Styela clava: one gene and its partners. The protein of the gene in region 1 purifies or fractionates together with the protein of each later gene. This does not show direct contact. Links are inferred from orthologs where the notes say so. Each region holds a gene or a part of one and is shown on either strand. Other genes may lie near its edges. The genes, in order: U2 small nuclear ribonucleoprotein A'-like, pre-mRNA-processing factor 19-like, U5 small nuclear ribonucleoprotein 200 kDa helicase-like and small nuclear ribonucleoprotein Sm D2-like.

What was found.
Region 2: the proteins of U2 small nuclear ribonucleoprotein A'-like (region 1) and pre-mRNA-processing factor 19-like fractionate together in Homo sapiens (co-fractionation; 3 studies listed by BioGRID). This does not show direct contact. The link is inferred for Styela clava from reciprocal best matches to the Homo sapiens genes SNRPA1 and PRPF19.
Region 3: the proteins of U2 small nuclear ribonucleoprotein A'-like (region 1) and U5 small nuclear ribonucleoprotein 200 kDa helicase-like fractionate together in Homo sapiens (co-fractionation; 3 studies listed by BioGRID). This does not show direct contact. The link is inferred for Styela clava from reciprocal best matches to the Homo sapiens genes SNRPA1 and SNRNP200.
Region 4: the proteins of U2 small nuclear ribonucleoprotein A'-like (region 1) and small nuclear ribonucleoprotein Sm D2-like purify together in Homo sapiens (affinity purification with mass spectrometry; 5 studies listed by BioGRID and IntAct, counting the BioPlex papers as one, with this or other methods). This does not show direct contact. The link is inferred for Styela clava from reciprocal best matches to the Homo sapiens genes SNRPA1 and SNRPD2.

The regions. Positions count from the first base shown.
Region 1 is NC_135254.1:5,249,814-5,256,738, reverse strand, and holds U2 small nuclear ribonucleoprotein A'-like, read right to left. Parts: upstream 2,840-6,925; 5' UTR 2,736-2,839; coding exon 1,971-2,735; 3' UTR 514-1,970; downstream 1-513. Other genes in the region: ragulator complex protein LAMTOR3-A-like, read left to right, coding at 4,828-5,226; uncharacterized protein LOC120344131, read left to right, coding at 5,401-6,789. UniProt on the Homo sapiens protein: Involved in pre-mRNA splicing as component of the spliceosome. Associated with sn-RNP U2, where it contributes to the binding of stem loop IV of U2 snRNA.
Region 2 is NC_135252.1:20,701,131-20,708,552, forward strand, and holds the start of pre-mRNA-processing factor 19-like, read right to left. Parts: upstream 3,007-7,422; 5' UTR 2,866-3,006; coding exon 2,847-2,865; intron 559-2,846; coding exon 410-558; intron 1-409. Other genes in the region: uncharacterized protein LOC120343531, read right to left, coding at 5,750-6,516, 6,987-7,422. UniProt on the Homo sapiens protein: Ubiquitin-protein ligase which is a core component of several complexes mainly involved pre-mRNA splicing and DNA repair. Required for pre-mRNA splicing as component of the spliceosome.
Region 3 is NC_135263.1:8,545,218-8,552,226, forward strand, and holds the start of U5 small nuclear ribonucleoprotein 200 kDa helicase-like, read right to left. Parts: upstream 3,027-7,009; 5' UTR 2,987-3,026; coding exon 1-2,986. Other genes in the region: DNA topoisomerase I, mitochondrial-like, read right to left, coding at 6,806-6,908. UniProt on the Homo sapiens protein: Catalyzes the ATP-dependent unwinding of U4/U6 RNA duplices, an essential step in the assembly of a catalytically active spliceosome. Plays a role in pre-mRNA splicing as a core component of precatalytic, catalytic and postcatalytic spliceosomal complexes.
Region 4 is NC_135253.1:644,477-651,579, reverse strand, and holds small nuclear ribonucleoprotein Sm D2-like, read right to left. Parts: upstream 2,204-7,103; 5' UTR 2,048-2,203; coding exon 2,043-2,047; intron 1,189-2,042; coding exon 1,009-1,188; intron 897-1,008; coding exon 713-896; 3' UTR 520-712; downstream 1-519. UniProt on the Homo sapiens protein: Plays a role in pre-mRNA splicing as a core component of the spliceosomal U1, U2, U4 and U5 small nuclear ribonucleoproteins (snRNPs), the building blocks of the spliceosome.

The DNA of each region.
Region 1 (6,925 bases):
GAGTCTACATAATCAACTTTGCCTTTACAGCGAACAATGCCTAATTTCCCGAACAAGCAAGTAAAGTTGGAACTTGTGCATGCTAGAATGAGACAGACATTATCATTTACCAGTTTTAACTGTATTTGGTGGAGCGCCGACACACAAAATGCAATACCAATTGGGTTTCTTTGTGACTAACTAATAATCCTTCTATGCTGGTGGATCTGCATGCATATAAATGTGAGGGTACTGTAGCAGGAGTAAAGATAACTATCCTGTATGATTCAAGAGTCTTGCTGCACACTAACATGAATACAGCAAATATCTTGACTCGCACAACATGTACGCTTGCATACCTACTGAAACACAGGTTATTGCTATTTAGGTTGTTAAATTATCTCTCATTCCGGAGAAATCCTGCACTCTGGCCCCAGAAGCCATGGTCCTGTCCTGAGAAGGTTATTTAAGTCTAATTCCCACTCTGTGAAAAAGCCTAAGATTGCCATCACCAGCCCGATGTCATTAAACTCATGAAGGTACGACTTCATTTATTGAAATTTGGCCATAGCAGTTACAAAGCATCACTGCAAATCAATCATAGCTTACAGTAAAATAAAAGTAAGAAATAAGTTCAAATAACATATACATTCCTAGACGAAGTCTAATATTTTTTTCAAGTCTTCCAAAGTTAAGACAACTAGTCGCATAGATTCCTAGGAGAACTATTTTGCTAGACAATCAGACATCCGGAACAAAACATTCAAGTTTTGTTTCCACCAGTTGTGAGAGTTTGTCTATTTATTTTCCTGTTAGATTTCGCTGTTCAGATAGCCAGTTTTATGACGCAAACGAAGAAAATGGGCATTTTCAAAAACTAAACATGAACAACAATACGCCCTTCAAAAATTGAGCCAAATTGAATTGGAATCATTGCCAAGTTGTCAAAAGTCCATTTTTGGAAGGTAAACAGGAAATATGAAGAATATAACCAGAACATACTGTATAAACGACAGTTTTAATCTACATAAGACTTGAGAAAATTCCAAAATGCACATTGCTTGAAATATCAGACGTGAAACTCGTCATTGATGCGTTTAGGATTAAAAAAAACAGTAGAAAAGATCACTACGAAATGTATGTACACGATAAAAATATAATAGGGGGAAGGTCAATCTGACCTTTGACCCTGTATGAACTGAGAATGTTGCACAGTTGGAATTATGCAGTGTTAGTGATCTGTTCTTGCCTCTTGGCCCAAATTAAACCTTTTCACCAAAGCGAAGATTCAACTTTGATAGACAGCGGTTCTCAACTTATTTTATTTTGTTACCCAAATTCTGTGGCCCGCTCAGTAGGAAAAACAGCACCATTCATTCATTGCCACTACAATTAGAATTAAACTATAGTGACACAAATGAAATTAGCATCAAAATGTTAACGTGACCGCGCAGTGGGCCATGGCCCACTGGTTGAGACCCACTGCTGTAAGGACTATTTGACGGCCTTAGCTTTTATTGAAGTATTGTGAAATAGTAAGTCTGATTAGGCTTCATTACATATGTTTGTTGAATAATTGTCTCTTGTAAAAATTAAAAAGTCTCTCGAAGAAATCATCTCAACTTGTTTCTGTACGTTTTACATTAATAGGAATTCAATTTCATATGATAATTACCAAATATGCATATTTTAAAAAACGATACAAAAAATAATTTGCCAACAAAGTATGTACTTTAATTATAGTTTTGGTGCAAAAAAGTGAGCCGAAACACTACTTTTTACCCTTCTAGTCGACACTATTTTGATTTTTTAATGCAGATTAAGCGTGACAAATCAATACTTTTTTTGTACTTTTCAACTAAGGCCAGTTCAAATATAGTCCCCAGATTTAGTTCTTATAGCGTAGTAACACGTCTTCGCCTCACAGCCCAAAGTAATCCTGAAAAATCCACCGTTTTTTTATCATTTTACATTCAATTTTGGAGGTGAATTTAGGACACTTCCATTTCAGTCTCCTCTTCTTTATCAGCACCGTTTGTGAGACCGTTTTTATCTTTCCCGGGGATTTTTCCAGATTGAAGCATTCTTTTTAGATTTTCTATCTCTTCAAGAGATTTTGCTTTCATGATTGCCTCCTTGATAGCTTGCTTATCCTGAGCGGACGGCCCTGAAATGGAGGCAGTCGGCTGTGTTGGTTTTCCTGGAGTGAAAGTCCTATTCTTTGATTTTTGTTTGATGTCATTGAGCAGTGTTTCCCCTTTTTTCGAACCGAATAGTTTTTTGGCTTCTTCTCGTTCACGTTGTTTAACTTTACGAAAATCTAAAACTCGTACTTGTGGTAATTTGTGAATAACATAAAGTCTATATTCTTTGTGATGAGTAACAGGATTGCGCAATAGGCTCAAAAATTCCAAGTGTTTAAATCCTTCCAAATAATCAAGATCGGTCAATTCCGCAATTTCGTTGTTCGTGAAGTAAAGCTCCTTCAAGTTAGGGATACTCAGATGAATATCTTCTTCGATTCTACAAATACGGTTATTGTTAAACATCAAAGATCTTATCCGTTTGAGCAACGGAAAACCTTCAAACTTTCGTAAATCATTATCAGAAAAGTCTATTGTGTCAAACTGGTCCAAAGTCGCACCTAAATTTTCAATGACAGGAATTTTGTAGCCTCGTAAGATCAGTTCACGATCTCGTACAGCGTTTACATACTGGACTGCTTGCTCGATGATCTCTGGGGTTAATTTCACCATGATCAAGTTTCAACAGCTTTTTTAGAAAGAATAAAAACTTTATTCCAGTGTTATCATACCGATTATAGAGTCAGAGAATATCTGAAGATATAATAAAATGTTAGTAGATTGACAACAATACTTCCGTAGTGTGTGTACCAGGTTAGGCCATAATTTTATTCTGATTTTCCATATTTTAGTTCTATTACAAGTCTGGGTACCGTCTTTGTAAGCTGAGTGAATATACCCCCTGCCCATGGGCTTCAGTTCCCTTACACAACTTGACGTAAAGTATGCGAACAAAATTAGTTACCTTCATTTTGGCAAACATACTTCTGGAGCGCCACAAGAAGGACAGAGTATCAAACTCAACAAGTCAAGTCAAAATTGATATTGATTTCAAGACAAACAAGTAACTAATTAATCCCATACTCGACATGGAATGGTAATTGGACGATAGGCCGTGTGATTATGTAAATCCTATCCTATTAATAAGACAAATTACAGTAATAATGATAAAAAATTGCCTAGGTCATGCAAACTTCAAACATGTAATATAATATGTTTAATGATAAAACTGCTTTAAGCATACCCTATTGAACTTGGATTCCATTTCAGAAATATCATAAATAAAATTTAGGAGTTAAGCAAAATTAGTGATTCCCACAAAACTTCTTAGAAACTGAGGAATGAAATGAACATGGAGATCACTTATATCACATTTGAGATTTCTCTCGATAAAGCCACATCAGAAAATTGGACTCAATCCCATTTTGACCTCCTAAACTACATACCTCTGTAAATTGATATAAGCCAGGGGTCGGCAACCTACGGCCCCGATCCAGCCCACGACACTTCACTGAATTATAGTATCAAAACAGCTGTTTTGACGATTATATTCTTTACGTAACCGAATTTATTGTGAGACACGTGTAGACTAAATTATATTATAATCTTAAATTTTAAGTATAAAATTTACAATGACTAGTTTAATGATGCTAAGTGCAAAGGGTTCAATAGCGCCAAAAATATTCAAATGGAACTTTTTGAGATGCAATGCAATGAGGAAATAAATCTACATTATATTCGAGAGATGTATCACTGCTTGATTTTCATTATAAAAACTATCATCCGTTCGGTTTTCAACTTTCTAGAGATACCGTATGTGCGGTCCGCCAATGATGTGCAACCCTTAATCTTGGCCCAGGAGCGATAAAAGGTTGCCCACCCCTGATACAGTGATATAAGCCATATTACAGACTGACAGGCCTGTCTGGCTGGGGTATGAATAATACCAGAATACTACAGGGATGCCAACTCACAATAAATACAGAAAAAAAACTATAAAAAATACATAGTCTACATGTAGAGATATCGGTACCGTATAACAACTGCCCTAAAATTACCGTATGTTAAAACTCTTCGATTTAAGTGACAAATAAAACAAATCTGACTTTGAATTACCGGTACGGAAACGACCCTTAAATTATCGGAACGGGGTGGAATATCTTCCTAAACTTCAAACAAAACTATCTTCAACACAATAAAGCTATCCCATTATCTATGTAAGAGTTTAGTTGGGACCAGGGACTGGAATGGCAGAATGGTGACAAGGCAATTCACCCAAGTTAGAAACTACTCGTGAAATTCGTTTTATATTTTACCGGTTTGAATTTAACACGACGCAGGGAGACTAATGATTAAAATTACCCTTTTAATTATAATATGTTGAAAAAAATTAAAACATTGGAAAAACACGAAAATTAAAATTATATAGTTATTTGAAAGAAAATATAAAAGATATTTTCCCATATGATAAATAATAAATGTTAGAACAAGAGAGTAAAATATCACGCGCGGCCTTTACTGTTGCCATATTGCTATAGTTCTCATATTGTATTCCATAAAATTAAACAACTAATCGTATTTTTTAGCATTGTAAAATTTGGAACACACAAAATCTTCCAATTTAAAACTTTAAAGACCTCCACCCTAGAAAAGTTATATCAATTCAACTTAAAATTGAACATCCAATGAGGTGGCACAAATATCTACAAAAATCTGGCAACAGTATTTCATTTTTATCTTTAAGTTCACTTCGCTTATCAGAATAATGTCGGAAGATTTGAAGAAATTTCTCTATCGGCAACTTAGCAACGTTGACGGTCTGTACGCAATAGTTGTTTCAGATAGAGATGGAGTACCTGTTCTGAAAATTGCAAACGAAAAGGCACCTGATTACACCCTGCGGCCTGCATTTTTGGGGACTTTTACCTTGGCAACTGATCAAGCCAGTAAACTTGGCTACGGAAGAAATAAATACATTATATGCTCTTATAGTAACTACAATATTATAAAGTTCACTAGACAGCCTTTGACCGTCAGTTTTGTAACCAACAGTGAATGCAACATAGGACTAATTCTGGATCTTGGAGAGGAGTTACAAGAATATCTTGGTGGTGTGAAGCAGGCAGTTGCAGACTTATCAAAAACATTTTATAACGCAAACTGATTATTTTGAAATGCTTTGTTGAATTGTGATGATTTTTCCGATGTGTAAGCCAACGCATATTTGATTTTGTAATTTAATCAAGAAATTTATATATGTTATTTGTCATTTATTACTTTTATTGCTAGTATTCTCATGTTAAATTGATCATTTTCCGCATATCTCATAGGTTCAAATATGTCAGAGTCTGATGAGGGCGTATCGACCTCATTATTAGGTAATAGAGCTACATCGCCACCTGTTGCCCAGCGATCTTCAAAATCTTTCGTCTCTCAAGTGAAGAACACGCTTTTCTCGTTCATTAAGAAAGCAAAGGGAGAAGCAGATACTGTATCACAAAAGCAGAGAGGATTGGAATCCTTCACTGAGAGAGTTGCCACATTTACTGTATCAAAATGGATGGCAAAACCTCTTGCATTGAGTCCTCCCCTATTTGCTCAATATGGTTGGCAATGTATCGGTGTAGACACTGTTAAATGTTGTTCATGTGCCGCTGTTATGTGTGTCCGTCTTCCATGGCCTGATGCTGATAATTATCGTCAGCAGTGCTTTGATTACCGACAGAGAGTTATAACATCTCACATGAAAATATGTTCATGGCCGAGTTACCCATGTTCCAATTCATTTGTTTCTCCGTTTTTTCACAGTAGTGCATCACCAAGTGAGATCTTATCACAGTATCAAGAACGTGAAAAAAATCTCATAAAGCTTGGAACAAAACTCCCGAATTTAGATCCAAACATTACAACTGCTCTGAACTTGTCAAAAGCTGACCTAAGAGTTCTGTGTCAAACACAGCAGGATTCAGAAAGTAACGCGAGTGATACTGTCGAATCTCAATCTAAATTTACTGTTGAAATAACAGCGGCAATACTTGCGATGTGTGGTTGGGATACAAGTCACAGTTTAGATTCAAAGTCACCAACTATCATATGTGAAAATTCAGGAAGGGTAATGTCTCTACGAAGCTTTTTCCAACTTGGAAGTAACTCTCTATCTTCTGACAGCGATGAGTCCCATTCTCAAGCAGCTGCACTGCTTACTTCTAATGGTCAATCAACATTAAAAAGACGATTAAGCACAACAAATGGTGAAGATTCTCAGTCACCGATCAAAAAATTGAAAACGGCCACCGAAAGCGCTTTAGGTTCTCCTCGAGGAAAAACAATCACAAAGCAGAACTTCCATCCTTTGGAACAACATTCACCTTGGTCGTTTTGGATTACTACTCTAAACCCGATATCAAAAGTTGAGTTTGAAAGTGACGCTGCTAAAAAGGGAGCATCCGTAACTGACAAAGATCAAAATGACGATTTATATCATTTTATTATCAATCCCACCATGAAGGAAGCAAAGCCAGGGTGGTTGGTAGTCAAGAACACAATCCTCGATAAAAAGAACACAAGTGAAAAAGTGCAAAATGTTACAAACGAAAGTTCAAACTCTATTTTGGATGGAAATTCACCAGCCAGAGATCAAACGAACTTCGACGCCAAAATTGCTGCTTCCGGAAGTCCGGTAATTCATGTCAGAAAACTGTTAAAAGAATGGTCTCGATATAAATAGATTTTCATTCTTCAGTCATATTGATCATACAAGAAGTAACACAATATTTCTAGCATAGGATTTTTTGGGTCTCGTGTAGTTTCGTACTTAACGTACTTCTAATGGGCCTAGCATAACAATTTTTTGATGTGTCATT
Region 2 (7,422 bases), on another chromosome or scaffold:
ATTGAAGTCTGAAGTGACGTTTGCTAATATAAGATATAGAAAATATTCTAATGTGGCAATTTTCAACAGAGGAATTTGTATGTACTATGTAAATTCGTTGAAACTGAATCTGGTAAAGTAAGATAGATAATATAAACTTTGTTCTGATTGGAATTGTTTTTTTTGCACTGTTAGAAGATGAATTAAGTCTATTTTTGTCGTTTATTTCAGATGTCGAATGCCTAAAATGACAGAAAGAAGAGAGATTCATTATTGGGTCAACCGAAAATACAGTCATCAATACAAATATATATGGTTTTTATTTGATTTTAGTTGGTTGTGGCAGCATCAGGTAGGCCAGATTGGATTTGGGCCGGATTTGGCAACGCGGGCCGTAGTTCGCCCATGTCAGATATAACGCAGTATCAACCTTTATATCAATTATCTGTTCCGGTGAAATAGGTTCGTTGCATGTAGGGTCGACACCATGCTCTTGGACATATTTTTCAAGCAATCTTCGTTCAAATACACATCCAGATACTTGGGATATGCATGGGTGATCTGGCACTTCTCCACTGACTGTAAAAAAGGATTAAAATGAATTTTTGAAATGAAAGGTCTGGTTGTTTCACCATCCAGTGAGAAAGAGACAATCATTTTGGCAAATAACAGAATGCTGGAAATCTGGAATGTGTCAAAATGTTCACATACAGACATACGTCAGTCAGTCGAAGTTTATTATAACTGGGGTTCAATATACCGACATAGGAGTCCATAGGACATACTTATGACGGGTCTGGTATAGTTAAGTACCACATGCACTTCTAGTTGGTCTGGCTCAACAATTTTTGCATGGTTCCCGTACATTTGAACACACGTAAATTTTTTTGTTTTACGGACATTTTAACCCATACTGACCCTAACCCATGGGTTTTAGCACCCGCGGATATACACATGGGTTCAAATGTACAGTCACCTTTTTGCATATGTCATTCTTAAACCCCACCTGACTATGTCACCAAAAAATCATGTCATTATGACATCACAGTTTCGTAATAAAGCCCTCCTAAATATACGGAAGGACGTCCCAAATGCACAGACGATCATCCAAAATTGAGCAAGTTATTTCTCTCGTTTTCTCGTCGCAACGACCCTGATATGAGAGAGATCGCCGATGTTCGTTATCGGCGGCACAGATGCCATTTCGGGCGATCGCAGCTACACTTTAGCAAGCTCTATGACGTGATTGTGACGTCCTAGTGACATAATTTTTGGATGGCATAGTCAGGTGGGGGTTAGGAATGACATATGCAAAATTCGTTATGCTACGCCAACTAGTGGTATACTTGTGTTACTAAACTATAGTAGGGTGGCTTACCCACTTTGCGGCCACGACCCATTTGCGGCCATCAACTTCATCGGTTAATTTAATACCGAAAAAATTAATGAACCGCGACGATATTTCTCACCCAATTTCGTCCACTCATACCTCGTATCTCTGCGGAATTACACTAAAATGCGGCCACAAACAAAAAAAGTTACGCCCGAAAACCCGCCCGGAGAAAAAAAACGGACCATTTTTTCATGTCGCCAACTACCCATTGTCGCTCCAAAAAGCTTGAAAATCTATAGAAATATAGGAGATAAAAACATGAAACTTGGCAGCTGAGTAGAGTTTTGTTTCTTTTAACCATCTTTAAAGTTTCACGTTTCAACATTTAAGGGAGGGGAAATAGGGGGGTGCACATTTCCAATACGTCAATAATATCTTTGTCGAACAATTTGCGATCACCGTGTTTTTGTCTGTTTGATTGCTGTGATGTGGTGCTTTGTTTATAATTTGACGAGTTGTGTTCGAAATAATCGTGTTCTCAAAATATATGACGGTCAAAAAAGCAATTAGGAGCCCAATTTTTTCACGCATGGCTGCGTATGTGCTAGTCTCAACGCAGCATAAGCGATGTTCAAGGCTTGAAATCTGCGGTTGCACACTGGTCGTTCGGTCGCAAATACGTCTCCCGAGTGTCATACTTTGATGGTTTGTATAGCTTTAACCACTGGTCGTAGAAAGTTAATTCGAGATTTACCGTGTAGAATAAATGCCAATGGGGTCTGGTATAGTTTAGTACCACATACACTTCTAATTGGCCTGGCTCAACAATTTTTGCATATGTCAATCCTAACCCCCACCTGACTACGTCACCAAAAAATTACGTCATTCCGACGTCACAGTGGCGTAACACGGCCCACCGAAGTATGCGGATGGTTGTCCAAAAGGCGCAGACGATAACCCGAAATCGAGCAAGCTATTTCTTTCGTTTTCTCATCGCAATGATCACGATAGGAGAGAGATCGCCGGCTTTAGCAAGTTCTTATCGGCAGCGCAGATGCCATTTCGGGCGATCGTAATTATACTTTGACAATCCCTATGACAGTATGACGTGATGGTGACGTCGTAGTGTAGTAATTTTTGGATGGCATAGTCAGGTGAGGGTTAGGAATAACATATGCAAAAATCGTTATGCTACGCCCACTGGCAGACTGGAAGTACTTGTGGTACTAAACTATACTAGACCCTGCCAATGCACCTACAGACCTATGGTGAAAAAATTAACAGGTTAGAAATATTAGTTTTAATTTTATAGCAGTTTGAATGAAATCGTCCACAGACTGGCTGCACCACCCTAGACCCCTTTGAAAAATTTACAAATAACAAGTTTCAGTAAAACATGTTTTTTTTGGAAACAAATACAGAAATATCAAAGGAAGGGCACAGGGGAAAGCTTATAGCGGTAGCGTGAACCAGTAATCCTCTTGCACGTAATTACTTCCAAATACGTAAATAAATTTAAATTCAATCAACTTACTTGTGCATATTAACGACATTTTGACAATTACAACATACAATCCCAATCCAATAATAGTATGATCTTCAAAACTTGGAGCTAAAATCAAAGATGGCGGCGCCGTATGAAGTCACTCATGCATGGTGTCCAACAAGACTTCCGTGGTTTCGTGCCGATGGATATTTTCCAGACCTTCGACCCGAAAGATATTCTTCATGGATTTATTTTTAGGAGTCTATTGCGAGTTGGTCTTACAAACTAGTACTGATAGCTAATTTTAGCCTAATTTATCGCACCATTTTAAAGCTAATTTTTGAACACCAATAGCGACTTTCGGACTGGTTTGTTTCAGCGACTCTTTACCATACTGCTGTTCATCGGATAGAGGCCTCCGAATCAGTCGCACCACTTTCGGAAAGGTTTTAGCATAGGACAATATTTCATCTATATCGGTGGAGAATAAAGCCGACTTAATCATAAGGCGAACCACGACCACTTGTCCGGTTACCGCACCTATGGTGATAGTCAAAGTTTCGTCAGTACTTTTCCCGACTATTTAAATTGTTTTTATATGCGGATTACACTCTCTTTCAAAAAAAAAAATACTTGAGGTTCATAATGATTAATTATCAATAAAATTTACTCACATTTAAAGACCCCACATTCACCAGTATTGATATATGGTTTCTTAAACAACTCACAAGGCAAATGAGAACGAAGTCTTACGCTTCAACCACTAGGACACGGGTTGGCACGGGTATGGGATAGTGGCGTATCTACGTAAAATGTCGCCCATGGCAAATTCTGAAAACTCGCCCCCTTGATAGTTTGACAATTTATAATGACTATTATTTAATTGAGATACTTGTACGTTATTATCTGAGTAAAAATACGAGTTTCAATTATTCCCAATTGAAATTTTTTATGATTAATACTTTTTGCCCGTTTTGCGCCCCTGTTCAAACGGCGCCCATGGCACGAGCCATGGCTGCCACACCCTAGATACGCCACTGATGGGATTAGTTGGTTATTTGTTTTCGAAAGCATGGACTTGCACGGCCAGCGGTTACGTGAACCACCCCACGGCGGCGAAGAGTCCAGCAATCCTCTCGCACATAACCATTCCCGAATTGGATTCGAACATGCGAAACCACGCAGAGTAATCAGAGGTGCTATGGCGAGAGTTTTCCTAACGCTTAGCACGATGAGCCACACCGCCGCGCTGCCGAGCCGCAACATATACTCTTATGTCAGAGGCTAATAAAACTTTCGGAAACCCACTTATGATGCAATAAGCAAGTTCTTAAAAATACGAAGATTCAATAATAGAATCTATGACGAAATGAAAACTGCTTGCAAAACTAAAAAAAGAGAGTGTTTACACACTTGAATCGCATTAATGCAACCTATTTTTACCGCTTGCGACGTATAGTTTGGGGACCGCTGTGATGTGTAATTAGTGGGGAGTATTTAGCTTTATGCCTCCGCCTCTCATTAATGCCTCAACGCTTCTAAAAAACAACTTTGAGACAGAGCTCCGAGCCACAGGTTGGCGATCGCTGCACTAGGCCATGGCTTCCACAAACTTTCTTCATAAACTTGTTCAATAAAAAATACAAGAGTTTTACAATAATTGTTTTTATTTGTTATACGAAGGCATTGGATGCAAGAAAAGAAGAATTAAGGATCTTTATATTTTGAATTACCTGAGTTTGCAATATGTAAAGAAAATATTCTGGAATTCTGGTCGTCATTAAGCGAGTCGGGAAAAGTTTGGTAAAGTCATATTAAAATCTACTCGGATTTGAGGTTTGGAGGGATTTGCGCCCACAAAGGTTTCGCACCAGTATTTATATGTACTTTTCTTAAACAAGTTCCGTTGGTTCAACGGAATGAAGTAATAATGGATGGAAATCGATAACTAGAGGTCTACGACGCTATATTTTCATCACAGTAAAGTAAATTATGCAAAATATACTGAATACATAAAATGTAGTCACACTGTATACCTATAACAATGAAATACAGATGAAAATTATAACTGTACATCTTCGTCAAACATGCTTATACAGAGAGGTATGCTTATAACAGTGCTCCGAGTAACCTGAGGTAAATGGTATTGGAAAAATTAATATACAGTTTTAAATGTATCAATGCGACAAAGTTTGAGGTATTTGTGGTTGAAGGTAAACTTTGAGAATGAAGGAAGATTTATTTTTACTAGTCGTTTTATCTAAAATGCTTAGACCGAATTCCATGCCGTAGCGATAACCCTATACTTATGAAATTTAAACCTATTAAATACCGCAGTTGCGCAGCCAGTCAGTCAAAATTGACCAAGTCGCAAATAAAACTTTGGGTTCCGAGTTACCGCAAATTCAATGTTCAAACCAAGAACACGTTTGCTCTGCTGAATTGTTTATGGAGCTATCTACGCAACTGTGGCTGGCTATGTTAATCAGAACCAAAAGCAAGAGAATTGGTTAAATAAGCGAACCAGGGCGATTATTGCCATGTAGCTTGCACATCATTGACTGACAACAAAGGGCCTTGTACAAGAATCTAGAAGGTGTTTCATTCCGAACAAAATCATGTTATTCATATTTTGACTGACAGAAAGCTACCTAGTTGATGACGATTTCCTCGTGATATCAGTAGGATTTCTGAAATTTATAATTCCTGCGGAAGAGGAAAGGCGAAAAGATGTCTTAATCATATGGCGTACCTCGGCCCCCCAGTTCATGTCGCGTATGGGAATAGTAAATATTCAGTTATTTGTTTCAGAAGCGAGGGCAACACTAGGTGAAAATAAAACTTGAATGAAAGTGATTGATAAAGTAATAAAAATGACAGCTGTTATCCTGGATACAGAAAGTATTATATAGTAAGCAAAATAGGAAAAGAATATTATTGACGCTATTTAATTAATTAGCGGGAACAAGATTGGCGGACTGGGGAACAGAAGATGTACCGTCAAGCCTTGTTCGGTTTGGATCCCACTGATATAAAAGTGCGTGTTGGAGTCGACTATAACCGGATATTGGAAGAGATTCAGACGGGTAGTAGTGGTTGTAGATACCCGATTGGGCAGATTCAGGAGTGGTCGGAGTCTGACTTTCTTTTCGATATGCGAAATTTGCGACTGTGTTTGGTGAAAACCGGAAAAATCTAGACGCTGGGTCGCTGTTGTTTTCGTGGTTGAGTGAGTCAACTCCGGGTTTGATATTGAAGGTATTGGTTGTATCGCCGGTTATCCCGTGTATTCCATTGTCGTTGTATAAAAGTCTTGGATCTGCAAATGGCGAGGTTAGGCCGAGGAAGCTTTGCTGAATCTGAGGTGGCACCGCATACATTGTGCCATAAACCAAGTCTTTCCAACCTGTTATAACTGGCTTCCATTCAATGATAGGGGCGAATCGATTGGCATCAAAACCAGGCGCCACAGATTTGGTTTGAGGCGGCGGATAAGTGTCATCATGGGATGCATCGGGGGTTCGTGACACTGGTGAGGCGCCATCGATACTATCTCCCTTCGCTTCACTATCCTGGCTTTTGTTTATATTCTCATTATCTTTGTATTGCACAGTTTCTTCGTTGTCTTGCATATGTTTGTCTTCATTCGACTTCTTGGCAGGTATTTCATACCATTCGTTGCATAGTTGTCGCTTCCACTTCTGTGGTTTTTCAGATGCTGAAAGTGAAATAAGGAGTTTATTGAAAGCTAACAATTAGACGGGGTTTAGAGATAAGTTTGTGGTGTTGAAACTATTACAAGTGTGATTGCTCATATTATTATGATTGCTTTGGTTTGGTATTTGGTACCAAGCTAAGAAAACGTGACACAAAGTTCAAAATACTAGTCAGGTCTGCCTACGAAGCAGGTACATCCTTGGTGAGTCCATATTGCTCGAATACTGGCGCACATCGATCAAAATAAAACCGACCATAAACTCGACTTACAGTTCACAATAATAAGTCATATTACAGTTCATTTTTCCAACAAGTTAAAGTAATTACATATTAAATAAATTAGGTGGTAAAAGTCGCGGGAGACCAAACCTGTTCATCAAGTACCTCATCGGGAATTAAAAGAAATTTTAGGTTTCTGAGTATTGCCTTTATGAGCTACATCGCATCGACAACATTAATGTGTATTCTTACCTCTTTTTAGTGACTTTCTCTCTGGACTTTGTATTTCGTCAGAGGAGGAGACATGTCGCTCTTCGTTAGTCGTCGTTGACGCCACATCGTGGTTGTCATTTTCAGTTGGCGAACGACCGACATCGGGACCAACGACATCTTCATTTGCTCTATCGTTTTCTCCCGATTGTGACGTATGCGGAATTTCTGTGACCTCTTCCGGTACGGGTTCACACCTTCCCAATGACTTATAAGCAAGGTCTTTCACTCTCTGCATAAAAGCGGATTGGATTCGCTTCGCTTGGAACGTAACATGTGTGATCTCATTCGCTGCTGAACCGGAAGTGTTTGGAGAGGATTTTCTCAGATTTGGCGAAGAAGGAAGAGATTTGTCGCTATGGCTTGAATAGGCAGAATCACGTCTCTGGTCTTTGCGGCTATGGTCGTTGATCACGTG
Region 3 (7,009 bases), on another chromosome or scaffold:
AATGACTAGCAATCCGGCCCAAATCTGTCACTTGCAAGTGCCCAGTTTTTCTATCATATTTGACTAAATTGCTTTTATCTAATATGTTTGCAGCAGAATGAATCAAGTCAACACGATGTTGTTGTAAAAGAGGATCAGCCTTTAGTGCATCATGACTTATGGAGTATAAAGTAGGCTGTCGAAGCATTCTAATGTACAGGTAACTGTACCCAAGCCAGTTCACAGCATCTCTGACATTCTGAACATTACCCAGCACAATTTCAGCATTCAGCATATCTGGCAGTTTGGCAACCATTTGACTTTCTACAGGCAATTGTTGATTCAAAAGCGACAAGTAATATTGCAATTCACTATGGGATGTAATAAGAACACCTTCACCCTTGGTGTCATATTGTGGCCTACCAGCTCGTCCCATCATCTGAAGTACATCAAGTGCACCCAATTCAACCCATCTACCTTTTTCTGGACTGTACACTTGTGTGCCTTTGATGATGACAGTATGAGCAGGTAAGTTGACACCCCAAGCAAGTGTGGCTGTTGAAACAAGTACCTGAATATGACGATCAGCAAATAAATCTTCAACCAATGTTCTGTCAACTCTTGACATTCCAGCATGATGGATTGCGAAACCGTATGGCAGAAGATCTTTCAATTCTAAATTCTTTACTTGCTCAGATTCTGTTCGTAAAACTTCTGTGGAAGCGGATCCTTCTCTCAAAAAATGTCCTAGAGTGTCATTTTCCAAGCACATATCTCTAACAGCACGAGCAGTTTTTCCAGTTTCTTTTCGTGAATGAACAAAAATCAGAACTTGATTTTTACCTGCATTTTCAACAACTTTTTCATAAACAATTTCATTCATAACCTGAAACCTCTTGATTGCTTTCTTTTCTGTTATGCCAATGTATTGCTGTTCTAAAGGACATGGTCTAAAACTGTTGTCAAAGAAGAACAACCCTTTGGAGGGATCAACACGCAAGAATGTGGCAACATCTTCATAATTTGGTAAAGTAGCAGAAAGTCCAACAAGTCTGACATCCTCTTGAGTTGTTTCGATGGATCTAATTGTCCTTGCAACAACAGACTCCAGGACAGGACCACGATCATCATGAAGCATGTGGATCTCGTCAATAATCAACAGACGTACCAGCTGTGTGTATGTTCGTTCACCACCTTTTCTTGTCACAATATCCCATTTTTCCGGTGTGCAGACAATAATTTGTGTGGCATTGATTTCTTCTTTGCAAAGCTGATGATCACCTGTCATTTCACTGACTTTGATGCCATAAGCGGCAAGCCGTTTTCCGAAATTTCCAACCATTTCTTGTACCAGTGATCTCATTGGAGCGATGTATATTATTTTAAAATCATTAACATTAATCGTTCCATCAGAATTGATGTGCTTGCCAATTTCTCTCAACATAGTCAAGAGTGCAACATTTGTTTTTCCAGCACCAGTGGGGGCACACAGCAAAATATTCTCATCACTTTCTAGTGTAGTCTTGGAAAGTCTACTCTGAATCCTGTTCAAACTTTTAAACCCTTCAAAAGCCGCTTGGGCATACTTGGGTAAAGTATCAATTGGAACAAGTTTTTCATCATCAGCAAAAACTTTTGGTTTTAAAGCAGGTACATGCACTTCTTCGTAACCTTTACGTTGTTTGCGATAAGAACCATCTGGTAACTGGCATTTTTTATTTGCCATCAAGTGAGATCCTTGTTCAAACATGATATCTTCAAGATCAACCCCTTTGCTTGGCTGTAAAGTTTCATCTGTCTGGTCAGTTTCCATTGCTTCTAGATCAGCATCAACTTTGCTTCTGCGTAATCTTTCTCTGCGTTCTTGTTCTTCTTTAATGATATCTTCTTTCTCAGTTTCGTTCAGTTGCTGGAGAATCACTGACAATTCTTGATCGTTCTTCATTCTATCTTCAATTTGTTTTTTTGCAGCTTCACTTTGTGCACTCGCAAGTAAAGTGCAATATAGAATCATTTGTCGATGTTCACGCAAAATTTTGATAAAATCAAACTGATTGAAACCGAGCAACATTACCAATTGATTTTCACATTGTAAATCATCAACCGCAGTCTTTAAAATTTCCAAGACTTCTTCTGCCTTTTTTTGCGAAACGATTGCATCATCATAAACTTTGCTCAAATTTCTTTGCAGCCAATAAGCATCAACATCGCGAGGATGTAGTCCACGATTCTTAATGATATTGACATTTCCGGCTTCGTTGGTAAGATTAGCAGAAACAACCATATTCGCATCTGCCTCTACGCCACCTTCTTCATCATCATCTTCATTTTCAGATTCCTCCTGAACTTCACCATACCTGTTTTCTTGGTCTTCTTCTTCATCATCCGATTCAAACTGGACGTTGACACCATATGTTTCATCAATGTTATCATCTGCGGTTTCAGCATCCTTATCTGTGCCGAAGTCGGTAATCTTTTTGCCCAAATTTACCAAAACATGATAGCGAGTATCTTCTTGAACTCCCAACAGTGATTGAACTTCTTTTCGTCTTTCCTTATCACGCAGTTTATCATTCTTAAGAACAATTATCACTTCGTCAGCTGCGCCACAAAGAATGTCTCTTGGTTGGTCACCCAATGCAGCCTGGATAAAGCTGAGTAAAATCTCGTACGTTTCTCTAGTTTCTTTTGTTTTTGGTTTATATAATATATTAACCATCTCATCCATTCCCTCAGATAACAGAGTTGCTCCTTTCAATTTCACAGAAGATTTTTGATCCTCGTCACGCTTGTATCGCTTTGCTCGACGCTCTTCCATCTGTGGTGGTCTTGTACGCTGCGCTCTATCACCCATTTTTGATCCAGTTAATTTTCCCTGCAATGAGATGACTTCTCCTGTCGGCTCATCTCTTGGTCGTCTATCAATGAGTGATCTGTCTGCTTGCAATACAAGATTAGAATTGGCTTTGTATTCATATTGCAGTGAACGGGCGGAGGCATCCGCCATGCTGTTTTTTTATTGACAGCGATTCCTCTACAGATTTAATATATCTGTGGTAAAACATAAATAATAACATGTGAAAACGGTTGATGCAGTTTTTCTAAACAAATTCAACTAGCAAAGCATATTGTATGTATTGCCCCACTCATAACCTCCGTCTAATAGTAATTTATGTGATTCTGCACAACAGTCTTAGGGTGGTGCAGCCAGTCTGCAGACAATTTCATTCAAACCGCTATAAAACAAAAACCAATATTTCTAACCCGTTAATTTTTTCACCGTAGGTGCATTGGCATTTATTCTACACGACACTCTGAAGACGTATTTGGGACCGAACGACCAGTTTGTGATCACGGATTTCAAGCCTTGAACATCGTTTCTGCTGCGTCGAGACTAGGGCAAACGCAGCCATGCGTGGAAAAATGGGCTTCTAATTGCATTTCTGACCGTCATATATTTTAAGAACACGGTTATTTCAAACAAAATTCTTCAAATTATAAACAAAGCACCGCATCACAGCAATCAAACAGACAAAAACACGGTGGTCGCAAATTAGTTGACAAAGATATTATTGACATATTGGAAATGCGCACCCCCCTACTTTGAAGATAGAAACGCGAAACTTTAGAGATGGTTAAAAGAAACACAACTCTACCCACCTGCCAAGTTTCATCTCTTTATCTCTTATATTTGTATGGATTTTCAAGCTTTTTTGAAGGAACAATGGGTAGTTGGCGACATGGTAAAATGGTCCGTTTTTTTTTTTCGGTCGTAACTTTTTTATTTGTGGCCGCATTTTAGTGTAATTTCGCAGAGCTACGAGGGATAAGTGGACGATAACGCGTGAGAAATATCAGCGCGGTTCGTTATTTTTTACGGCATTAATTTAATCGATGAAGTTGATGGTCGCAGATAGGTCATGGCCGCTAAGTGGGTAAGCCACCCTATACTCTACTGATCTATGAGAGTGATGCTCGAAAATATGACAGGGAGAATTAACAACTTTCCTTGGGTACAGATTTTTGCAAGCTTTTAAACAGTTTGAATGTTCATTTTACAATATTTAATAAACTTTGTTCAACTAATATGTCACTAACAAATTTTTCATTTGCTTAATCTTTCAATTACCCTTCAGCACAGGAAAATCTGTAAATCGCTATTGATATAAAAGGGCATTCGAGTCTATACTTGTTTGAAATATGGTTTAATCTTATAGCATAACCAGGCCTTTCATTCCAGCATCCGGTCACCAGCCCATGCCGTGTATGGGATTACAGGATTAGTCAGCCAGTTATTTCTTTAAGTTGCATGATGGTGGCGGGATCCATGCCTAACCGACGTCCCCAACAAAATTGGAACTTGTGAATTCTGGAATTACCCCTGCTTGGGGTAATACAGTACCGCTACGAACCTAATCAGCGTATTCCTAACCCTTATGCCTTAGCATGATGACTTACACTTCCGAGGCGGCGCATATTACTGTATTATTTATATCTGTGACTGTACCGTAGATATACTGAAGATGAACAAATGCCTGTGTCATGAAATCTCAAGTGCATTTCTCAGTTTCTAGTAAATCACAGTGCTCCATGGCATTACATGAAGACGTGAACATGAAATAGACTAAACTTTTCATTGAATCACTGACACGAACTAAAGTGTCGAAATTATTTCCAATTTTTGACAAAGAGGAATTTTCGTGTGTTTGCAATGTTCTAACCAAAACCTGAAAACGCTAAATTACCGTTTTTTATTTTTTGCTAGCGCACACACACCAAAACCAAATTCTGCAACAAGTCTTGATGTTTTATATAATCTATATCGATAAAGCCTTGGTTAGCCATGTGATAAAGACGTCTCTCCCAATACTGCAATACCGCAAAAAATCTCATAATTATACCTATAACAATAACGCGTGTGGGGATCAGAAACTTTCAAAAACTGAGAACGCACGACAAACGTCGGCATGATGTGCGCGGAGTCAAGGAAATCACACCTAATTGCCGGATAATGATAACGACAATTTAGGTGTAACAGACTCAATGTGAGAACCACCTTCACACTGAAACTTTACATATATGCATCGAGCTGATACAAAAAAGTTACCACAGTGTCCAATGAGATAATAAAAACTAAAACAATGCAGAGAAAATGCACAGACCCGAAAACAATGGAAGAGTCCACGCGCGGTATCATCGTCACTTTGTATTTTGTGAGTAGAAGTTTATTTCAACTCCATAATCAGCATAACTGGTAATAAAATTATTGATAAAACAAATAAATAAAAACTGTTTATCTAAAAATCCTTGTTCCTACTTAAAAGAGGCTGATTCAAACAAGTATAGGATTTGAACCTAAACCAAGCCAGCTTCATGAATATATAACATGGGCACAGGCTAAAATTGCTGTCACAAGCCAAGTGACCACCGTAGTATTTGTACCTGAAACTATGGCCCAACCCCTAACCTGGTACACAAACTACATTCTGGTGTCCGCCATCTCGGTACGCATCCTTCAGAAGTGCCAAATTTTGAACTGAACATCACGAGGCTACCCAGAACTAAAGCTGGTTTCAGGGATGCAGTTTTAACAGAATCGTAACTTGCTTATAAAGCTTAACATTCATGTTTGTATGAGCTCTGCTTCACTATGGTTTCCCCATGGTTTACTAAGAAAAACAACAAGCATGCTTTACAAATACTTCCTTGTGCATTTAATAAAACAATCAAAAATATTAGCAGTTAATCGGTCACATACAAATTTCATACTATAGAACCGGCAATCAATATAAAGTTTGTATACAACGGAAATGGTAGTGAAAAAATTCAATTTGTGACAAAAATCCTATTCAGTGGAATAAAAACTTTCGAAGATATAGATGTAATGACATCTAACAAGGGGACTTCCACAAAGTAAAAATATGTTTCTATGGAGCTTCCAGTTGGTATAAGCATGTCCAAAATGAAATAAGAACACTTAAAAAATGCAGAGATAAATACCTTGTTACCTACCTCACAAAAAAGGAATTTAAACTATCGAACTATGTAACATAAAATTAGAGTTCCATAAAAATTCAAAATCTATCACAATCGACCAGCAGTCAGTCGATTATGGTTTGATATAGATCAATTCATTTCAGGAACAAACGAAAGATTTTAAAACCTAAAAATTCTTCATAAGCTCCATCACTGAATCAGACTCCGTATTTATGTTATTATATGATTCGAGATGAAACTTAGTGAAGAAAATGTAAGCGGACACCATAAAGCAGCAAATATAGAAAATTGCCTAGAAGAAGATATGTACAAAACTTTCATTATCATTATAAGAACCGCGAAATCCTAAGAAAGCAGTAGTATTGCCAGAGCCTTTATTGGCCTCACATTAATAGGCAAATGATTTGTACCAAGACCATAAGAAATGAAGTTGGCAAATATATTGACAGTTACAAAATCGATATTTTTAATGATTGGCCATAGACTGAACTATCCCTCACAATAAAGGCTCCAGACCCTCATGGGTTAAAAAAGCTATGGTTATAAAAGAAAATAGTTCACAAGGCCATATATAAACACAAATACTGATCCAATTATTAACCTGTGTATCGTTGATATTGCTTCTTATAAATGCTGAGACTGATGAAGCGATAAACTAGTACGAATTACTGTAATACAGAGCGCCAGCAATCCCTGAACTGTTGAAACATACCACTAAACAGGGCGATGATATTAAAACTGGAAAATCCCGGACGAATAAATTTAGCAAACCATAACAAAATAAATCAAGGAAGTAATTAGTAAAAAATAAAGAGTTGAGATAATAGCTTTAAAAAACATATGTTTCATCCACCATTGCTATTGCCCAAGCAAATTTGTCACGTTGAGTTTTATTGTAGACTTTCTCAATTGGAACATCCCACTTCTTGCACCTTGAAACAAATATAATAAGTTTAATAGAAATTAGTGTTGTATTTAAGGTTACCAAGGTAAAGAATTAAATTAAATAATGATAGCCCAGATAACCAAAAAA
Region 4 (7,103 bases), on another chromosome or scaffold:
CGGTCATACAAAGAATTGATATCTTTCGTCGTGATAGTTTTATTTTTTCTCGTCGAGGTCTGCGTGCCAATAAGAAATTCTTCACGCATTTCTCTTAAAAAAAAACGGGGAACCACCGCCTAACATTATATGTCAGCTTGTAACCGTTACAAATGGACTACGCCTACTTTTAATATAAAGGTAATAAACATCACCAATTATCGTACCAGAGAAATATTTCCAAAGCTGATTTTATTTAGTATAACACCATATGATCGTTAACTTTCTTTCAATTTGGAATAACTACAAGCGAAATTGTCACAAAATAATATCAATGAATAAAGTTAGTTCACTGGACGCATCAAACACCCAATATACTAGGGCTGAGAAATCTTATTTTTTGTTGCACAGAGCTACGCTCAGATACACATCTAGTTTTTAATATCTAAATATCAGTTTTCAAAGAATCCCAGACGCAGTGATAGTTTTCTTCCAAAATTGACTGCACACTAATACTATAGCAGACTCGACGCAATACAATTTGAAACAATGTCTTCTTTTTATTGAAAATCAATATAAAACCATGATTGCAGACTTCTGGCTCCTGTACAACATATATGCGCAGGAATACCTGAAAATTTGTCTTCAAGCAGGTTGATAAAAATGATATTCGCAGCTACAGCAGTTAGGCATCTATATGTCAAACTAGATGTAGCTGCGAAAAAAAAAACAACTAAGCCTTGGACTCAGCTGAAGCAAGAGGATTCTTCAGCACAATAATGATAGAGTCTCCACGAATAAACATCTTGCTTATAAAACGATCACGATTAACAGGCTTCTGCTTCGTCTTTCCTTTACCAGTTTTTGGAGTTTCTGTCCACATCTCCTTCACATTTTCCAGAACCATATTGCAATGCCTGTTAACAGAGATAAAACTGTTGTTGCATGAGAATAAATCAAATCTGTGTGGGAACTTACAATACCGTTTCATATACTTTAGCAATATTTTATATAGCAAAATCTGCTTACCTATCGAATGCTTTAACTCTAGCAAGTAACTTTCTGTTATTTCTGCAGTTGATCAATATTTGTGTATTGTTTTTCACTGAATCAGTCAACACTGATAAAGGACCAGTTTGAAATTCTTCTTTTTCTCGTGCCTCCAACTCCTCAGCAGTCATCTCACTCCTTGGTTTGTTTGCAAGCGCACTGTAGTTGTCGAATTGAATACCGAATTAGTAAACTGGAGCGAAACGTATAGGAAAATATGGGGTAAAAGATATTGTCAAGCTGTCTATATTTCAGTATTTGAGAGTCCACTTACTGCCTTATGCAGTAACTTGATACCAAATGGGGATTTCTGTATTGCCTAGTTCAGTCGTTGAATGTATAAAGCGGTCTGGCAGACTGGAGGTGGACTAGACCGCTTCACTCACAACATTAAAGCTGTAAAGCCAAAACAAGCATATTTCGAGTTCAGATTACAGGATTATATCAAGTATGAAATGTTAATATCAATCAGTAGAAGTAGGCTAACTATCGTTATAAATATTGATAATTACTGAGTTACTATAATTAAGGCTGTTAACGGGGGTCTTACTACTGTACTACTTACTGAATACATCGCATTACAGAGGAAAACAGCGCGAAACAGTGGAAACCAGCGCAAAACAGGTGACACAATTATTACCACTTCATGATGGCACCTGCCACGAAAGAATCACGGTACCTCTCGCCATGGTTTTATAGCGCTACCCGTATTACCTGTATATTCACGTGGTTATGTACCGGTACCGGATTTTACGTCATCATTTTTTGGGGATTTTTTTGGGAGGTACCGGTACCTGCGGGTCTTTTGACTAAAATAATGATTAAAAACCTATTTTGCAAATAAAACATGGAAATATTATATTGCTCCTAACGTTTCATTTTTGTAGTAGAAAATTTCCAAGGGCTCCCTCAAACATTAACTAACCAATGATTCACATTGTCGCTATTTTTCTCATGCAAAATCATGTTGATAACTAGTTTATAAAACATAAAAACTGTTATATTGTACTCACGCCATTTTGCAGTTACTCCGTATGTAGATACAGATTAAAACCGATTATGATCCAGCAATGACGCTGAAAAGAAAATTCCACTCACCAACCGACAAGCGAGCTACGAGTACGAGCGGCAAAAGTAAGTCGTATATAATATAGTAGACTCCAATCAGTAATTTCGTTTCCCCGACCCTTGACCCCTTAAAAATTCCAATATACCGTGAGACGAGGCCCTCGAAAACGACTATAAAATGAGTTTCGTATCGCACATATGGTAATATAATAATTTTTTTAGTTTCGTATGAAAATCAACACACTAAACGCATTACAGCTTGTTCCCATTAACGAAAGTTGCACATTTTCTGTAACTATGCAATTCAAGAGTCCTGCTGCACACTTAGAAACGTTTCGTCTGACCAAAATCAGACCTCCCTAGCCAAGCAATTTACAACAAAGAACAGCATAAGAAGTTGCGTTTATTTTACAGAAGCTATCAAACGCATTCATCTTTATGCAATGAAGTCACAAATTAACACGAGAGCACGAATACACAAAAAAAATCGATTATATATTCGCTGTTTTAAGTTTGCAGATATAGCTGAGCAATACCATAGTCTATACTTTATAATATATACTCTATAATGTATTCTTAAAACATCTGAAAATCTATCTGCTTGAACTCAAAACGTCAGTTACGATCTTTTGATCTTCGTACAAGAAAATGTCAAGCGCAAAAGCTCCACTGATCGTCAAGCTGCTAGTACCTATACAGTTACCAAACTGCCCGAAAGTAAAATGTCCGACCTGGTAACAGTGCTTGAGAGTGAAATATTAAAAACTCTGAGACTTGAAATACCAACCATCATTAAACAACCCATGGAAAGGTTGGCCCATGATGTTTCTTTACTCTCCCCCCTCTAGTATTGGCATCCAGGAGTCGTTGTCATCACTAGATGAATTTCTGAAGGAAGTGAAATCTCAACTATCCCTCTGAAGTGGAGGAGATAAAAAAAAGCCAAGACTTCATCGCAAAGAAACCAAAACGAAGTTATTACCAAAACCTTATTGTCCAAAACAGAGGTAACCTTAGATAGATAGATAGTTTATTTCGAAAACTCCATAACAAACCTAAATTAAAAATGGAGAATTCTGGAGGGCAAGCAAAACCTACAAAAAAGTTTAAAACATGAAGTATCTCATGTGCCTGCCCACCAGCACGCACACCTTAGATCAACATGGCAAATATTTAACAAAATCAAAAACACACATAATAAATCAAAGCAACAAGTTGAGGAAATCTGTCTGAAAAATGGCAGTATCACTAGGTTTGACTTTTCGATTTCGAACAAATTTAAGTACTTCTGAACCATTGGGTCCAGCCTCTCTGAGAAGTTTTCAAATGATTCGGGTAATTTCAAACATCTTCCCCATAATCGCGTGAGCAAGTCCATTTTTATGAGTTTGGCTACCGCAAATGAACTGTTGGTAGAAATTCAAAATCTGAAGGTTAGGAAGGCAGTTGGGCCAGACAATATTCCGGCCTCAAATATGTTGCTGACCTTGTTGCTCCGTGTCTAACAGAGTTCTTTAATTGCTATCTCTCACTCGGCATATTCCCTTCATCTCTCAAAATTGAGCGGGTAATTCCTCTTTTTAAATCTGGAAACAAAAAACTTGCTTCAAATTATAGACCGATATCTATTCTTTCATCGATTGATAAAATTTTTGTTTGTACGCTCAATTCACAAGAGGCTTACTAGTTTTTTCATTAAATATGTTGTCATGAATTAATCTCTATTCGGTTTCCAAAACAGTTTTCAACATCGTATGCCATTTTGGGTACTATATTTTTTATATATGACAAACTATAAAAAAAGGAGTTTGTTGGTGCAACCTTTTTAGATTTGAAGAAGAGCTTCGATACCGTAAGGCGTAAATTGAGCGGCAGATCACACAGTATGTTCAAGTAGGTACAAATCCTTTTCTTACCGGTGTTTCACGGGTTCCCACAAGGTAGTTGTTTAGGACCTCTTAGATTTTTTGTATTTATTAATGACATAACTAGGGCTGGGCATATTCGAATACCTGATGATTCCAGAATCGAATCGAATCTCGAATACTTGAGATATATATAATTGTATACAATTTTTTTTATTGTAACTGATTCTTTCAACGAATGAATTACTGAAAACGTAGAATACATCACTCAGACAAATTGCGAGCGTTCACACGCAATAAGAAACACGTTTTATCAATAAATCACTACAGAAAATAGTCATATGTCTGGAATGCATTGAAAAAATAAGGCTTCAATAAAAAAAAAATTAAGGAATATACGTTGACCATTGGCGATGAGAAAAAAAAATAAGATGGCGGCGATTCGAAATGCCCAGCTCTAGACATAACTCGTTGTTCTTCATTATTTTCCAAATTGTTTGCCGATGATACCAATCTCCTCGATAGTGACAAATCTCATGTAGCCCTTCAATAGAGAGTGAACACTGAAATTGCAAAAGTAGCAAATTGTATGAGAGCCAAAAAACATCGATAAATCAAAAACTATGGTAATTAATATCACCAAATAAAAGTAAAGCTCAAAATAGTCTGACAGTCCAAATTGATGATACAGAACTTGAAAATGTCAATTCATATATATATCTTGGTTTATATATAGATAACAAAATGAAGTGCATGGGACGTTCAAATATCTGACCTGGCTGTTAAATTAGCCAAGTCAGTGGGAATACTATACAAGCTTCGACATTTTACATAGCTAACCACTTTACGTATGGTCTCCTATTCTTTATTTCAATCCCATATTCAATATGGTATTGTGGCGCGTGGTTCAGCAGATAAAACCTTATTGCATCGCATCGAAATTCTACAGAATCAAGCGATTTCAGATGTAGAATATGCACTCGTCTTAGTCCTATTTATCGTAGACTTGGTTGATATTTACAAAATTGAAATGTTGAAATTAATGCACCATCACCACCACAACGAAAAACTTCCTCCAGCATTCACTACCTATTTTTTAAGCAGAGTGATGTGCACTCATATGGAACACTCTTATTATGTAAATCGTTTTTCCACCAAACTCACCCAAAATAATGGTTCTCCTAATTTCTTTAGTTCCTATTACTAATTGTTGTTCTCTTCGTGATTGTGTTTTTTGGTTAATTTTCTTTGAAACTTGTTTCTTCCCTATATTTTCTGCTCAATTCAGGTATCGCTGATTAGACGACTAATTGAGTTTTTCGCGACCCCTCATCAATTGTTATGAATCAGTGTGTTCCCGTATTTTTTTATTCTTGTGTGCGTTTATTGCTTTACATTGATTCTTGCACGGTAAAATAAATATCTGAATCTGATTTTTCACTGAGAAATTTACACGGAAAAGTCAAGAAAATTGAGGCCCCAAAACAGAACCTTGTGGTATAAACATATTAACATGTTTTGACGTAGACCTCACATTACCATAAATGACATATTGCATACGTTCGCTTATGTAACTTTTGATCAGCGCCATGGTTTACCTCGTATACCATAATGATGAATTTACTGCAATAATATTGAGTGATCAATGGTGTCAAAAACCTTTTCCAAGTCGACATAAATGTTAACAAAATGTTTTTTTTCTCCCAATATTCATATAATGATTAAGGATGCCAAGTATGAGTACTTACAAGTATTCGATTCTTATCCGATTCCTAAATTTTCGATTCCGATTCTCGATTCCTCGACATATTACCGAAAAAATATACCCACCCAAGCAATACCATATGAAATCAAGCAAGACAGCGATGTTCAAATTCTGGACGGACAAGAAGGCCGAAACTAAGTAGTATGGGTATCCAATATGCCACAGGAGACAAAACCGCACAAAAAAAAAACGAATCCCTCAAAACCCACAGAGATTTTTAAAATAAATAAACGTTAAAGCCTACTAGCGATATTTATAATATATATATTATATATAGTGAAGTTTGTGGTGTCGTAGCAACTCAACATAGCAGTGAAGCAGTTTATACATATATATATATGTGAAGAAATTGCCACTAAACGTTACACATTGTTTGCAAACAAAGTTTCAAACTCGAGAATCGATTCCGGTGCATGGAATCGATTCTGTAATCGAATCCGGACTCGATTTCGCCATCCCTAATAATGATGAGTAACGCTGTCTAAAACTGCGTGAATAGTTGAGTGTTTCAATGTAAAACCGAATTGTTTATCTGACAAAATATCGAATTTGTCCGAATATTCTGTCAATCTGGAATGCGAAAGATTTTCAAAAACTTTCGATATAGCTGTGAGCACTGAAATTGGTTAATAATTGCTCACTATGTTTGGATCTCCTGATTTTAACACAGGTGTCACTTTTGCCACTTTCAGGCATTGAGGAAAAACTCCTTGCTACATGCATGCTTTAAAGAAATCTGTAGAGTACTTGCTAATGATATAAATCATAAGATTTGGAACACGAATATACAGACCGTCCGGACCAGAAGCTTTTCTTGAATCCATTTTGTTTACAATGGAAATAGTTTCATATGCTAGTATAGGCTCCAGATAGATTGAATTTTTCTGAGGTTTTCCCAAATACTTCATAGAATTATTTGTCAGTTTCGATGCAAGATTAGGACCAACATTTACAAAGTAAGTGTAAAATTCGTGGCATATGAACTGATGGTTGCATATGATGCCATGAGTTGTCTCAATTTCGTGTGGAAATTTTCGTTTACGTTTCTTATTGTTGATTGTTATGATACGCCCCAAACAACGATATTTCATGCTTGTATGGAAGGTTTATGATTAATTTAATGACGAATCTTGAGTATTCAGCAGACACATACTACTATATAGGCTACCGTAGGCATTTCCAACCTTTTTAGTGTCGCGGGCTCTTTTTTCATGGGGAAATTCATTGCGGGCCGCAAACGTTTTTACCAAACTCAAACACCAACCCAATTCTGATTTACGTTAGAATTTGAGCGTCGCTAAATCAAACGCCTGGATTGCACAACAATTTTACGGATTTCTGCACACAAAGACCATGGACCATGAAATTCAACTCAA